Caenorhabditis elegans: one gene and its partners. The protein of the gene in region 1 interacts with the protein of each later gene in a pairwise test. Each region holds a gene or a part of one and is shown on either strand. Other genes may lie near its edges.

Evidence for each region. Proteins that work in one complex are often made in the same cells at the same time.
Region 2: the proteins of sdz-18 (region 1) and cogc-1 interact in a two-hybrid assay, tested with the Caenorhabditis elegans proteins (one large-scale study listed by BioGRID).
Region 3: the proteins of sdz-18 (region 1) and cah-3 interact in a two-hybrid assay, tested with the Caenorhabditis elegans proteins (one large-scale study listed by BioGRID).

The regions. Positions count from the first base shown.
Region 1 is NC_003280.10:1,703,637-1,708,451, reverse strand, and holds sdz-18 (BTB domain-containing protein), read left to right. Parts: upstream 1-1,966; 5' UTR 1,967-1,975; coding exon 1,976-2,088; intron 2,089-2,594; coding exon 2,595-2,985; intron 2,986-3,036; coding exon 3,037-3,184; intron 3,185-3,233; coding exon 3,234-3,385; intron 3,386-3,432; coding exon 3,433-3,462; 3' UTR 3,463-3,546; downstream 3,547-4,815.
Region 2 is NC_003279.8:3,231,175-3,236,940, reverse strand, and holds the start of cogc-1 (Conserved oligomeric Golgi complex subunit 1), read right to left. Parts: upstream 3,551-5,766; coding exon 3,483-3,550; intron 2,573-3,482; coding exon 2,408-2,572; intron 1,694-2,407; coding exon 1,614-1,693; intron 1,434-1,613; coding exon 1,348-1,433; intron 1-1,347. Other genes in the region: txl-1 (Thioredoxin-like protein), read right to left, coding at 3,856-3,960, 4,832-5,330.
Region 3 is NC_003284.9:16,485,109-16,490,447, reverse strand, and holds cah-3 (Putative carbonic anhydrase 3), read right to left. Parts: upstream 2,968-5,339; 5' UTR 2,915-2,967; coding exon 2,875-2,914; intron 2,391-2,874; coding exon 2,244-2,390; intron 2,198-2,243; coding exon 1,843-2,197; intron 1,536-1,842; coding exon 1,337-1,535; 3' UTR 1,051-1,336; downstream 1-1,050. UniProt on the Caenorhabditis elegans protein: Reversible hydration of carbon dioxide.

The DNA.
Region 1 (4,815 bases):
AAAACCACAAGGCTTCTCATTTTGCGAGAAGTGTGAGGGATCTGGTGCAGTTTCTGGTCTTTTATTAGCAAATTACATGCAAATTTTGTGGACTGGCATGCAAATTACATGCAAATGAGACTTCCACATATCAGGCAGGTCTTATGCCACGACGTGTAGGAACATCCAGAGAGTTCCGGCCGTGTCGTTGTGATCCGCTGTGATCGGCTCTCGATTGTTGTAGCGGACACGTGAAAGTTTTTTGCTTACGGTGCCAGATTTCCGAAGATGCTGATGTGAACATAACCCAAATATAAATTGTATGCGTGAAAAATTAAAGAAATAAACTCGTCAGTGTGAAATGGGGAGTTACAATTTTTAAAAAAATTCAACAAAATTTAAAATTTGCTAGTCTTCGTATTTGAACTTGTAATCAAATCTGGCTTTTGAACTGATAATGTGACCATTTTATTTTATTATATACTTATGGTTTTAACTATTCTTACTAAATTTAGCAAAAAGATACGACTTCCGGCATATAGTGCCCTAAAAAATAAATTAGAGCAGAAGTAGCGAGGCATCCAAATATGAATATTGTCAGAGACATTATGTTTATTTTTAAAAAAAAGTATTATAATTACGCGTTGCTTTGTTATACATATGTAGTAAAGAACGAGAAATTCAATTGTGTAGCTCAAACTTCCAGGTTGTTGTAGCATGTTCTCTGAAAATCTCAGTTCAACTAACTTCACTCAAACTTTCAACCAAACCTTCAAGTTCTCCAACTGATATCGGTCAGCCATCTGCATTTTCTTCTTCAGCGTCATCTTAGAACCTCCTGTTCTGATCAAGAAATCCTCGCAGTTCTTGGTGACCATCTTCGAATCGTACATATCCACAATGTGGAGAACTCCTCCCACTGTTTCATCTGGAAAAATAATCACGTTGACGTTCGCGAATGAAGTTCGTCTAGGCTAAAAATCAAAACTGTGATAGCCTGGTGGTGGCCGTAGAGAACTTCTAAGAAGTTCTGGAAGTCGTTGGGATCGATAGAGTTGAGAGTGACTTCGAGGCTTTTTCCTTCTTCGAAGTCGCCAAGAAGCAGGGCTTTGAAGTAGTTGGACTGGGCAGCGAGGTACTGAAAATAGTCTAAAGTCAGAGCCTAAAGTAGACTTGACTCACCGTTTTAAGCACGTAAAACTTAACATCCTTCACCACCAGCACAACATCCGAAAACTCCTTCATAGATTCATCAAAGTTGCGGAGCTTCTCCTTCTTCTCGAACCCACTAGTGTCGAGGATGTGCGCGCAAACTTCAACAACCAAACAATCCTCAACTACAAGCTCCTTCACCAATTTCTCCCATGGAAAACAAAATCCGAAGCCGTATTTCTGTCTCTCGCCGCCCAGCAAGCAAACTTCTGAGCTTTGCGATATGCTTTCACCAGTGGGTCTCATCAACTTGGTACTGAATTGTATGTGTACAGATTGGTCAGTTGTACGTGAGGCTAGAAAACTGAAGAATACATGTAGTTGGGTTCCTTCGCGCGCAAGCTTGATCCTCCTGGAAGTTGGTGAGTTGGAGAACTGTGGTAAAGTGTAAAGGATATTTCGGAAACCCTACAGTAACCCGACAGAGCCACTAAACTAACCAGGGGAATCCAAAATACTGCTCTTCTGGAGTTAGACGGACTTCTTCTTTTTCAAAGTGGAAATATTTTTCACTTTTTGAGTCATCACAAATTCTTTCGAGAAAGAACTCATTTTTCTAGATAATTAACTGGATAAATGGAGAAAATCAAATATTGCGATAAAATGAAGAGGCTGAGAATGGTCCCAACGCGCTATCTGAGAAAATTATGATGTGAGAAACCAGAGACATCGACGCTGCCCTGCTACCGCAAATTGGATCGATTCTATCCAAATAGCGCCTCTAGCGAACCGAATCATTGTTGGATTCATTTATTTCATTGTTTTTTCTTGCAACTGAATTACTATGTCCTCTCTGACCAAACAATTCGTGATCACCCAATCCGTCAAAAATGTCTCGAGCATCGCAGACGGAGGTGAGCACGTCACCCCATCGGAAATTCATTATGGTACTGAGTGGTAAGTGATTCAATATTTTCGTTCAGATTTTCATATTAAAGCTGGAGTAGCGCCAGTGCGGATTTTGTCTAAATGCACTTATAATAATACAAAACAACCGAATATCATAATAAAACAGTCCAAAAAATTTTAGATTTTTCATAATTTCCGGTCAAAGTTTTGGCAAATTGGCAAAATTTTTAAAAATACGAGTTTTTGAGGAAATCTAAAGCAATGTTGCATGTTTCGACCCCTACAATGTTTTAGTACAAACATTTTAAACAAAATTAAACATAAAAAATGTCGAAAAAAAATATTTTTTGGTTGACTTCCAAAATTATGAGTGGCAAAAACAGAGTAATTGCCACTTTTTGACAGTTAATAAAATATTTTCAAAAAATTTTTGAAAAGTGTTATCATGATATTTGGTCATTTTGGGGCCAAAGGAGCGGTTTTTAACAATTTCCTCACTGGAGCTACTCCACCTTTAAAGATCTACTCTACTCTCTAACCTTTGTGTGTTTCAGGTACATGCGGATCAAACGGGATAACGGATTCATGAGTTTCGGATTGTATTGTCCAATGACTGGAAAAACTACCAATTGGTCAATTGTAGCTGATATCAGGGTCGAACTAATGCCGTTAACTGGAATGTGGAAATCAGTAGAATGCGAGTGCAAAATAGCCAAATCACCCAGCCTCATCAGTGAAGTATTGCGGTCGACCATAATGCCTTGGGGCAGAATGATGACAAATTACGTAGTTGATGATGCTCTCATGATTGAAGTTTTTGTGACAATCAAATCCATGACTGGATTCGAAAGACCGTATAACCTCCGAAGCTTCGACGAATCAATGGAAGAGTTTTCCGACGTGGTTCTTCTGGTTGGGGAGAAGAAGTTTTATGTTCTCAGAAAAGTGAGGCTTTTTTCTTCAGTTGTACAAGCTGATACATTTTAAAAATTTCAGTACCTCGCTGCCCAGTCCAAGTACTTCAAGGCTCTTCTTCTTGGCTCCTTCGAAGAAGGGAAGAGCTCCGAAGTCACCCTCACTAGCATCGATCCTAATGACTTTCAGTTCTTCCTGGAAGTTCTCTACGGGGATTCAGCTATTAATGGTGAACAAAAAACATTCGAATTGACCTAAAATAAAATAAACATTTTTAGATCTAACCGTGGAGGGCATTCTTCATATTGCAGACATGTATGACACACCGATGGTCGTTCGAAAGTGTGAGGAGTTTTTGATTAAAGGGACAAAGTTGCCGGCGAAGAAGAAGTTGCAGATGGCTTTTAGGTACAAAATGGAGAACTTTATGGTATTGTTTTTTGGTAACATACAACGAAAAGTATTCAATTTTTTCAGAGAAACTACTACGCTGAACTAGGAAATTGACATTCTACAGTTCTATTGTTTCTAAATCCCATTGGAATTTTTTTTGTTAAATTTAATTTTTGAACCTGAATAAATGAAAATATCGTATTTAATTTCTCATATTTGCACGTGGTGATATTTAGGCTGTCCCATTACGGTCTGATCTACAAAAAATGCAGGATTTTTTTTGCGAAAAAAATGTGACTACATCTCGAAATGTGTATTAAAACTTATCTTATCCGCAGGAGAAGCTAGAAAGGACCTGAGAAAGCAAAATATCTGCAACTAGCGTGCCAACGACAAATGTTTTGCCTTGCTTCAGCGGGTCTGCCGTGTCGCACAGGTTGATATTTTCAAAGTTTAACATAATTTTATGTTCTCTAGAAAATTGTGAATAAAACCTGTGTGCTTTAGCTATATTTAGAAAGTTCTATCAAATTTTATAGGCGCGAGAAGTTGTCACCATAATTATCCCTATATACCAATCTGGACTTCCTTGTGATTATACATATGATGTTTATATACAATAGGATATGTGCAATACATAAGAAGAGTAATATAGGAAGTGGGGTAACATAAACGTCGGGAGCGGAGCAGTAGGGCGACACACCACAGTGGCATGTGGGCCCCTGCACTTAAGGGCGGGCCGCCGTGGAAGTAAATGAAGAAGGAAGATAGGCATGCCTGATAGGAGGATTGTTATCGTGTTCTTCCACAATATCTACTTGGCTCACAGCATCAAAGTAACTATAGTTTTAGAACATCGTTTTAACTATTCAGAGTTTTCAGTTGCTGTTCATAATTCGGAATATATTTCTTTTGAATAACTGTAATCGTTTTCAACCAATAATAGTTTTTTAACTTCTGAGAAGCATTGAATATTCCATTAAACTTGCCATAGCGAATTTCAGGTTTTGAAGCTCAAATACTTGACTATATTTTCATTATACCTCTCCTTATCACAAGACTTTTGCAGGTCGTTTCTGAGTGCCTCGGAACTGATACAGACTAAAAATTGCCGGTGCATTGACAGAATGAGAGCAGCCTTTTGGAAACAGGTGCTATCCAGAGCTGCGCGACAACTGAGTTCGGCAAACAAACAAAGCTGCTCATTTCAGAGTAATAATCCAATTTTTTAAGTGAAGAATTGGTACAGAAATGTAGTTAAATACTTGATCAAATTAAAATAAAAATTATTCTGATTGAGAAACTCGACACGAACCTCAAATAGTGCCTGAAAGTGTCCTGTTTTCAGGAAAGGCCATTTTTAGGCACTATTGAGGTTTTTGTTATTTTGTTCAACCAAAATAAGTATTATTTTCAAGTCAATTAAATATTTTACTACATTTCTTTATATTAAAAAGTTGGATTAAC
Region 2 (5,766 bases), on another chromosome or scaffold:
TTTAAAAATAAATTCGAAAGACGGTTTTTTTTTTGATTTTTCGATATCTGGAAAATCGAAAATTTTTTGCTTGTCGATTTTCCGATATTTCGAATTTTTTTTTCAATTTTTTAAAAATCTGCTTAAAATGTTGATCACTGTTTTTTTTTTCATTTTAAAAGCAAGGGTATCGGTTTTTCGATTTTTTGAAAATTGAAAAATCGAAAAATTTCGTTTTTTCAAAAAAAAAATTTTCGATTATTCAAAAATTAGCTTAATATTTTGGCCATTATTCTTCTTTTTAGAACATTTTTTTATGTTTTTTCTTATCAATATAAGCAAAATTAGATTTTTTAAAAAATCGTATTTTATGGTTAAATTTCTGAAACAATTTTTTTTCAGATTTTTCGATTTTTCTATTTTGCATGAAAAACACCGAAAAAGCGGAAAACGCGAAAAACGCGAAAAAATCGAAAAATGCCTGTATGTATGTAAAGTATGTAAACTTGTATGTAAACTTGTATGTAAAGGTGTCAGTTTTTCGATTTTTTGACAAATAAAATTGAAAAACAATATTTCTTCGATTTTTCGATTTCTGGAAAGCAAAAAATGTTCGTTTTTCGATTTTTTTCGATTTGTCAAAAATCAGCTTAAAATTGTGATCACTTTCTTCTTTTTGGAAGTTTTTTCTCAATAATATAAACAAAATGAGATAAAAAATCGAATTTTATAGTTAATTTTCTGATAAATTCTTTTCGGATGTTTCGATTTTAGTTGAAAAATATCGAAAAAATGAAATATTTTTTCGATTTTTCTAAGGCTTCCATGTGAGAGCGGCGCGGCGTCGGCGCCTCACGCCGGCATCACGCCGGCCGGCTTTCGCCTTCGCCGCTTTAAAAAATTTTGACGTGAATTCTATATTTTCATTTTTAATAATTTGTTGAAATTTTAGAAAAAAAACAAGAAATGAAAATAAAATTTTACGTTTTTTTTTCAATGACGGCGATAGTGGCGACGTGAGGCTGTTTGAGGCGCCTCACCGGCCGGCGAAGGCGCCGGGATGGAAGCCCTAGATTTTTCATCAAATCGTGCTCATTTCTATTAAAATAAAGTACAAAAACATATGAATTTCTTCAAAAAATCGGGAAAAAAATTTATTTTTTAAGTTAAAAAAAATAAATTTCCATTTTTCGGTTCTCCTCGAAAAACCTGAAATTTCTCCCAATTGTTCAACAATTTACTGTCAAAAATATCTAGAAAAAATCTGACCAAAATTAATTTTAAGATTTTTTTAAATTGTTTTTTTTTTCGAAAATTTCAAAATCCAATTTTTTAGCGCAGCTACCAACAATATTTATTTAAACTGACCATTGGCGACGAATGATTACTGATGAGCTGCTTCTGAAGATGCTCCACCATGCAAAGAGCAACTACATCGTCCAGTGGCTCACCGCCTGGAAAAAATACATTTTTTAAAAATGAAATTTGATAGCATTTCAATTTGTTTTACGGGTAAAACTACTCAATTTTCATGATTTTAAAAATTTTTTCAGTAAAAATCGCTAAAATTCGCTGACATTTTTGAATTAATTAAGTTGAAATCAATTTTTAATTTCAAAAAAAAAAGCCCATACTATCTCCTCCAATACTTGAAACCAAATAGTTCACCGCATAGAGATGTTCTCCCGCTTTCTGTTCCTCTCGTCCTCCGGTTCTGGAAATTCAAAATTTTATTTTTTTTTTCAAATTTTTTGCTCTGAAATTTACAGAATTGTTTGGAAAACCGTGCAAAAATGTGATAAATATTTGAATTTATCTAGGTTAAAAATTTGAAAACAAATCCGAATAAATTGAGTTTTTGATTTATAACTTTTGATTTTTTTTTTCGAAGTAGAATATATATTTTTCTAACGATTTTCGGATCTTAAAATTGAAAATAATTCTGGAATTGAAGAATTTTGTTTATTAATGGTTTTTGAATTCCCGCGCAATCTAATTTCGGCATTTGAGCGTTTTTTCGGCTATATTTATTGGTTTTTATTAATTTATTATTATTATTATTATTATTTGCTTTTAAACATATTTTTCGTGTTTTCAGTCATTTTTTTTCTGTTAAAAAAACGGCTGAAAATTTAAAATTTGTCTGAAAATCGATAATTTAGCATTAAATATTTTCCGCAAAAGTCTAATTTTTTGCTAGAAAATCGATTTTTAGACAAATTTTAGGGTCTCAGCAATTTTTTTCGGGGTAAAATGTCTGAAAATGAAAAATTAAATTAAATTTTCCTAATTAGTTTTTTTTGCGAAATTTTCTCAAAAAAACCATTTTAAAAATTTGGAAAAATTCAATTTTTTCCAATTTTTTGAATAGAATTTTTTGCCGTATTTTTTCCGAGTTTTTACTCAAATTTTGCGAAATATTTCCAACCTAACATGAGTGGATTGATATCCAACTCTTGTATTTGCAATATCTGAGGCCAATTTATCAGCCAAAGAGCACACGTGACGAACTTCTGAAGAAGCTTCTAGAACATCTCGATACCGACGGCCGACCATTTCACGGAGACTTTCTCGTTTTCCTTCCATTTCTTTTCTGAAAAAAATGTTTTTTTTTCGAAAATTATCGATTTTTCTGAAAATTATCGTTTTTTTAAACTTATAGCTTTCTTTGCTGGAAATTGTGGAATTTTTACGATTTTTTGACTTTCTCAATATATTATTGAATTTTCTGAAACCTATCGTTTTTTTTTTGAAAATTATAGCATTTTATTGGAAATTATCACTGTTTTTTTTGAAAACTAAGGATTTTTTTGGAGATTATCGTGTTTTTTTTTTGGAATTTACCGATTTTTCGACTTTATAAAAAATTAGTTTCTGAAAATCAGCGATTTTGATTTTTTTTTTGGAAATAATACCTTTTTTTGGAAACATTATACGCTTTTTGCACTTCAATTTTAAATGAATATTTTGAAATTTTGATGTGAAAATTTAAAAAAAAATTGTTTCTCATGAAAAAATTGAATTTTCTATTTTTTAAATAACACTCTGTTTAAAAAATCCCGAAAAATCTTATTTTCAGCCAATTTTCCCGAGAAAACATTAAAATTTCTTAGTTTTGCTTTTTTCTTAGCTTTTTCGAAGATTATAGCCCTTTATTGAAAATTATCACTTTTTTTTTGGAAATTGTTGATTTTTCTGAACTTTTTGAAATTTCAATTTGCAAATATTTTTCTCGCGAAAAAAATTGAAATTTCTATTTTTTAAATAAAATTTTGTGAGAAAAAAAAATACTTTTTCAGCCAATTTTCACCAGAAAACATTAAAAATTTCTAATTTTCAATTAATTTTTGTTTTAAAAAATTAATTTTTTTCAGCAAATTTTTCCGATTCCTCATTTTACAAAAATTTCTTCAACACATCCACGTGTCGATTTACGCAGCCCTCGTGTACTCCACGAGGAGAAGCTTTTGTTTCGAATTTTCTCGAATTCCCGCTTCTCTTACTCCAAATTCTGCTGAATATTCTCCAGTTGCTCGACCGATAGGTCACGCATGAGCCGGTCAACGTCCATCTGAAAATTTCAGATTTTTTCTTTTTTTTAAATTAAATTAGAAATATCTAGATGAAATGAAACATTTTTCGAGTTAAAAATTGAATAGGATAGCTTGGAGAAATGTGTTTATGCTGAGAAAAAAAAATAAATTTAAATTTAAAATTAAAATTAAAATAAAAATGATACACAAATCGAGAAATAAATAAGGAAAATATGGAAACTGGGATCAGCGAAAGTATGGTTTTTGGTACATGACAATTAGAGAAATGAATTGGATAACTCGTTGGCTCACAATCAGTTGATAGGAAGAAGGATTGATGGGCTCAATGAGCTGCATCTCCAGCTTTTCCGGCGACTCTTTTGAATTCGTTCATGTTGAGAGCAGACAGAGGTGTTCCGAAGACTGTAAGCTTGACGAGCTCAGTGACCTGGAAAAAAGGAAAAAATTGGAGGAAATTGGAAAATTATAATAATTTTGCTCTGAACCAGGGGTGGGCGGCAAACGATTTTTCCGGCAAATTGGCAAATGTCGAATTTGCCGGAAAAACGGCAAATTGCGGTTTTGCAAATTTTTTTTTTTGGAAATTTCAGAATTTAAATTTCAATCGGCAAAATTGTACGCATCCTATGAATATTTCTACATTTATTTTGAAAAGTAGGCAAATTCTATGAAAATATCTAAAGAAAATGGGGAAAAAATTTCAAAAAGGCATAGTTTTAAGTTTTTCCGTCTTATAAATAATCCCTCTAAAAATTTCCGGCAAATCGGCAATTTGCCGAAAATGAAAATTTACGACGAATCGGCAAATTGTCAGATTTAAAAATTTCTGGCAAATTGGCAAATCGGCAGTTTTCCGAAAATTAATATTTACAGAAAATCGGCGATTTTCATAATGAGACTTCCAAAAAAAATCCGAAAAATTGTTTTGCAGCTCAAAAACTAAAATAATATCGGAAAAAAAACCAAAATATTGTTAAAATCCGAAATTTCGCCGGAATACATTTTATATTAAAAACAATTTTTCAATATTTTTTAAATGGCGGTTTAAAATTTCGAAAAAAAATTTGCTAATTTTAGCTAAATTTCAATTTTTTTTTTTCAATAATGTCTGAGAAGTTTCTTCACGAAATTCGTTCATTAATAAAGCGAGTTTTCGTGATTTTACTGAAAATCTTTAATTATCTTTCTTTATTTATTTAATACGTTTATTAAATAAATAAATAAAAGCATAATCAATAGTTTTGGGTAAAATTTTAGTAAATTTAAATGTTTTCAAAGTAATTTTTATCGAAACTTACATCTCCTCCACCGACATTATTCTCAATGAAAAATTGAATATTCTGAACATTCTGGAACTTGACATATTTCAACGCGACGACTTGTCCGTGCCCTTGAATAGAAGATTCATCAAATTCCAACATTTGAGTTGGCTCCAGAGCTGTTGCATTATCGAAATCCGTAGTTTTCGGAAGATTAATGAACACTTTGACCTTCTTTGGAGCACGATCCGATACTCCTTTAATAAGAATTGAATGAACTTTGACTGGTTGATTAAATGGAAGTGAGATGATCAATTGCTCATCACAATCTGAAACCAGATTGCAGTTTCCTTCGAGAAAACGTCCCAGTGGAGTATCATCAGATTCATTCAAACATTCCATTTGTTTCTTATCGACAAGAGGTGTCAAGTCCATTTGACCAGCAACCAGTGAGTCGGCTGCCGAGTTGTCTGCGTACTTTTTCACCATTGTTTCCAGTGCTTTTGCATCGGCTCCTTTCATTTGTTCCACGCGGACTCTGCAAATTTTTATTTTGGGGAGTAGAGTTTCTGAGGTGGGCGGATATTTTTTTCGGATATTTTCTAATAATGAATTTATCAATAAGTATTGATGTAGTTATTCTGGAAGAAATGTAACCAAATCAAAGAGTAACTATTAAGCAACATTTTAATATGATAAAATCTAGAAAAATTCTACAAGTTTTCCTTACCGAGACCTTAAAACTTATTAGCCGAGCAACATCGGATATCGGATATTACGGATATCGGATAATGGACTTGCATATCGTTTATACAGAAAACTTGTAGAATTTTTCTAGGTTTTATCATATTAGAATGTTGCTTAATAGTTACTTTTTTGTTCGGATACATTTCTTCCTGAATAACTACATCAATACTTATTGATAAATTCATTATTAGAAAATATCCGAAAAAAATATCCGCCCACCTCTGTAG
Region 3 (5,339 bases), on another chromosome or scaffold:
AGGATTACTGGTGAATGATTTTGTAGATTTTTGTTGGTTGGGTAGCAATGAGGCTAACACTTTTCACAATAGCAAAAGCTGCGTCTTGACTGAAGAAATTGAGCATTTCGTTCAAACTTGAAAAAAAAACTTTATCTAGATTTGCAGAAGTTCCTATGTCAAACTGTAGCCACACACGGACTGTAACAGGGAATCTCAGGTCAAAACAGACCCCAGCCCAAATAGAAGTGGGGCATCACGTTGTGTCAAAGTGTCCCATTTTGGTTTGTTCTACGTAGATCTTCGAGAAATGCTGGAAAAGAGACGCAGACTTCTCGACTGATTTTGCATGGTTAAGAGCGTGCTGATGTCACATTTTTTGGGCAAAAAATTCCCGCAATTTTTGTAGATCAAACCGTAATGGAACAGTCTGGCACCACGTAATGCATTTCATATGTGGTTTTTGTGTTTTTTTAAACTGTTTTTGGCATGTAAACGCTGAAAAATTGTTAAGTTCTTAAAAAACAGTTTAATAAAACGTTAACCTCTGAACTAAATTCTTCACAGATTTGAAAAAAATAGAAATTTGTTTCGTAAAAAATATGAATTCAACGTAGTTTTTATACATTTCCTCAAACAATGGTTTTCAAATGTGATAGTTTCGACACCTTACTGAAAAGCTTCACTGTGTTAAAAAATTATTTTTGGCAAAACGGACGCTTTTATACGCCGAGACGCAGTGGTTTGATCTGAGCAGCAAAAACAAAAATTCAGCCTTTTCTCATCATCCGTTATTTAAAAGCGAAATGTTGCAACATTTTAATATTTTATTTTGAAATACCCTTTTTTCTCTGTAACTTGTTTGTTTTTTTCCACAGAAAAAAAGCCTGCAAAATGAAAAAGTGACAAAAAACTAATTAAACCCCTCCCTGAAAAAACCGATAACACATCTTTCCAAAATTCCATTTCGTTCCGTCACCCCTTGAGCTCATACGACCCTATTTTGCACAACACAACTACTTCCTCTTCGTGACGTCACACCCCACACTTTTTATTGAAAAATTGATGAACAAAAAATTCTAAAAATTTATTCAATGTTGTTAACAAAGTTGGAATTGTAGGTGGAGTGGGAACCCATGGGTTTCGTGTCAGAGTAACTAGAATATTGCAATGATTTGGCAGAAATTGCGAATTACTACATAAGAAAAATAGACATCGGGCTGGCTTGAAGTGTTGAAATCAGAGGAAAACGGGGATTTTTGACAAAAGTTGCTTGGGACCATGAAGTTTTTGTTTGGCATTTTTGTATCGGTATTAAATTTGAAAAATGAAAAAAAAACTTTTTTCTGGGAAAATTCTAATTAGCTACAATGTGAACGATTTTGCGATCATTCAAATTTTGAGTCGGACGGTAGTTTTTCTTGATGGGACGCTTCTCGATGTCCTGGACCTGACGGAACAACTCAAGTTGATCGTGGGTGACGGTGACTGGCTCGGTGAAGATGGTCCAGGTGACGATTTCCGAGCATGGCGGGGTGGTGAGAGATCCTTCGTATCTGAAAATCAAACAATGAATGCGACTGGAAATATGTTTGTTAGATCGTCTGAAATATTATGCTATTGCACCTGCATAAACTGTTCAGGCACTGACTTCAAATGTGACTATGAATCAGGAGTAATTGAAAAGTGTGAGATTTGAGCATTTGATCTCTGGCTTCATTATATATTTCAGGTTGGATAAACTATGTTGAGATCAAATAATCATATTAATAGCTGACATCAGTCACGCAAAACCTTTAAAAGGTTTCCCTGTTCCGATTCAATTTAGTATAAGAATATTCAGCTAAGATTCCTTGATCTTACCTCCAGAACGACCTCTTGTTTGCTGGCAGCTTCTCGGAAAGCCTAACATTCTCCACACGAGTCACTGTCTCCGGATTGCAAAGTTTTCCCAAAACACGCTCCTCATTCGACAACGCCTTTCCCTCTTTTCCAAGTTGAAGAAAAACACCAACAACGGCTAGCTTGCCGGGGTCTTCAACTCCCTGGTGGACGAGATGAAGCTCGGCCGGATAGCGGAGCCCACCCAGCGTGTGCTCGGATCCCTCGTTGTCATTCTCTCCCCAATGGAAGTGGTATTGCACGAGGCGGTAGACCTGATCAAGGCCGCCGCCGTAGATTTCTGGGTGTTCCGATCGCAGCTCCGGGGTCATTTGAACTGGAATAAGTAAAGTTAAGCTGAGTTATTTTGAAAAATTAGTTACCAGAATGTCCATTGTTCACAATATCTCCTTGAATAGGATGATCATAATTGACAAACTTGATTCCATCATGGGTATCCTTACGTTCAACCTCTCCCAAATCAATGTTGATTGGGGATTGATGCTGTCCAGTGGGCCAGCGATTGGGTCCTGGAATTAAATTTAATACCATTTGTTATTAATACAATACTTTTTTCGAGAAATAACTCAATCGTTATGTTTTTCTTTGCACGTGGTGTCAGACTGTCTCGTTGCGGTTTGATCTATAAAAAATGCGGGAGTTTTTCCGCCAGGAAAGTGTGACGTCAGCACACTCTTAACCATGCAAAATCAGTTGAAAAGTCTGCATCCGTTCTCCCGCATTTTTCGAAGATCAAACCAATATTGGGCACTCTGAAACCACGTGTTTTTGCGAATTTGGACATTCTAATACTTCTCAGTTTCACAGAGTTATTACTGAACTGAAAATGTTTATATGTAGCAGTCCATGTTATAGGGTGAAATTATCAATATAATTTAATTTTTGATCATTTATTCCTTTTACTGAGTAGATAAATGCTACTGAGCATAACTAATTTTCGAGACACTCAGTTAAGTTTTGAGTTCAAAAAACAGCTAATTTGAGTCAACTTACCACACTCATCATCATCGCAGTAGCTCCAGTGCCCTGTCATCTTTGTTGGAGACACTCTCTTTGATGTGGAGCAGAAAATGTGATAAGAGAGTTCTGCAATTTGAGATTCAATTTTATTAGCAAAAACGTGGAAAAGGGCAAAGAAAGATAAGACTTCCGGTTCAAACCACAATTTTCCACATTTTTTTTTCAAGTATTTCAACTCAAGAGTGTCACTGAAAATTGAAAAAAAAAGAAGAACATTTGGGAAAGGAATAAAAAGAGTGGAGGCATGCCGAAATAGGCGGGGCCTGGTGGGTACTGCTGAAGATAAAATTGAATAAGAAAGCTGAAGGATGGAAATGAAAATATTGTGTAGAGACGCTTCTTCTTTTTTTGTGCTGGTTTTCTACTTCCTAGTTGCTTAGCTCTCTACACTTCACAACGAAAATTTCGAAGAGTTTTGTTTTGTATATTTTGTGGACAAATATGTAGGAGCAAAATAGTTGGAAAAAATACGAACGAAATTTTTTGACAAGCCTCTGGAAAAGCGACGCATCTTCTTCGTCTCCAGCTGAAGATGACATCGTCTGTGTGTAGCTCTGTGTTGTGGAACGACGGGAAAGATGTTGTTTTGTTATTGCCCACGATGCCGTCCAGAAGATGATCAATGCTTTTTTAGGAGACGCGGGAAGCTAAGAGGTCCTTGTCCCCTCTTTTTCCGTCTTTCTCGAGTACCTAAGAATCATGAACTAAGCTTTAAACTTAAAAATAAGAACTTTTGTGCTTGTGCTTTTTAAGTCATGGAGGAAATTGTTTCATGACGATTTTTGGTAAAATTTTTTTTGTAGTAATTGAGTACAGATATAATTTTATTTTTTTAAAAACGGGTAAACAGTTTCATCGCCTAAAGATTTGCAATTTTTTTTCAAAAAGTTATCTTTTTTTTAAGCATATGATCAAAATTTGGAGCTACTTTACGAGCTTTGAACACTGCGAAAATGTAAATTAAAATTATTTCTCATCAAAATTTAGAGTCAGTTATGGCTGGTTAAATTTTTTGTGATAACCTAGTTCATTTTGGGCATTAAAACTGAAAATGTATTCTCTCAAAGTTTAGAAAATAACTTTGTATTTTTAAATATCAAAAACCAAAAATTTCAGCTTCTCAAAATTTTTTTCATTTTGCCAGCTAATTTCAAAACTTGATTTTTCAAGTTCATACAACAATTTCCTCATTGACACCTACCTACATTCACAACACATTTACAAAACACAACTCAAACCACTGCACCTGCATGCAATTTCTCAGGAAAAGCTGCTCGGGAAAACTTGAAAATTCTCACGACTACTGCTCAACATGAAGTGCAAAATGATGAGTGTTAGAAAAAAAGAAGACTGGTGGAAAAAAGAAGATGACGTCCTAGGAGCAGTTTTGAGTAAAATGGAGTGAAAAGTAGAAATACCTAGGGTTTTTGTCTCCTCTTATTCTTCTTCGCGCTTTTTTTCTCACTTTGAAACCAAACAAAGAAGGGTTCTAGGAATGTGAGTGGGTAGGGGAAGGAGGGAGAAAATGCGGAGTTAGGTTTAGAGTAAGAAATTATTAATATTTCTTAGAAAATATTGAAGCTCTGAAAACATCAACGATTTTCAATAATTGTTGGACATATAGTTTGAGTCTAAAACCGCAAAAATGTATCAGAATCATACAGTGCGTACAAGTTCTATACGCCACCCCCTAAATTTATGCATGTGGGCACGTCTGAATTTTTTAGAAGAATTCTGCTGATGCCATTTGATTCCAAATCCTAAAAAACCTATGAGCCTGAGTTTTCATGACCGTACCTCAAAAACTAAATAAATTAGGTCTCACATGAAAGTTCAAGACTGGAAAATTCTAAAAAGAGAAATGTTCATTTTCTCAAACATCAATGAGAAGCTTGATCAGCAAACATGGAAATTGAAGAAATTTGACCCTCCAAAAAAATCCTGATTCCCACTTAATGTTCAAACTTTAAGAATCGAAAAACAAGCGAAAATCAAGCAAATTCTATTGCAACTCGAAGTATTCAACTATTTTATAGCCCGACACGTGGTTCGGAGATTATCGAGTTTAGTGGTGAGAGGAGTCAGAAGCCGTGAGAGAGAGAAAGAGCTTTTCATATATCTTTTGATCTCGGAAATTGATGGAAGAGGAACACGGAACACTGGAATGCACGTTGGAATTTATGGAAATTTTTTGGAAAAGTTGTGACATTGTGGCATATGCATATTTAAATTTTTGGATAATCTCAAGTACTCAACAAATTGGGATTTCGATTGAAATAACCTGAAAACATTTTTTGCTCTTTTTTCAGCTTTTACGTATTTTTTGCGAGTGAGCCAAAATTGAACAGATGTTCACAAAACTGACACTTAATTATATTAAAACCCTTGTTAAAAATTACTTTCTATTTGAAACCCCAAACTATATCTTTTTTCAGAGA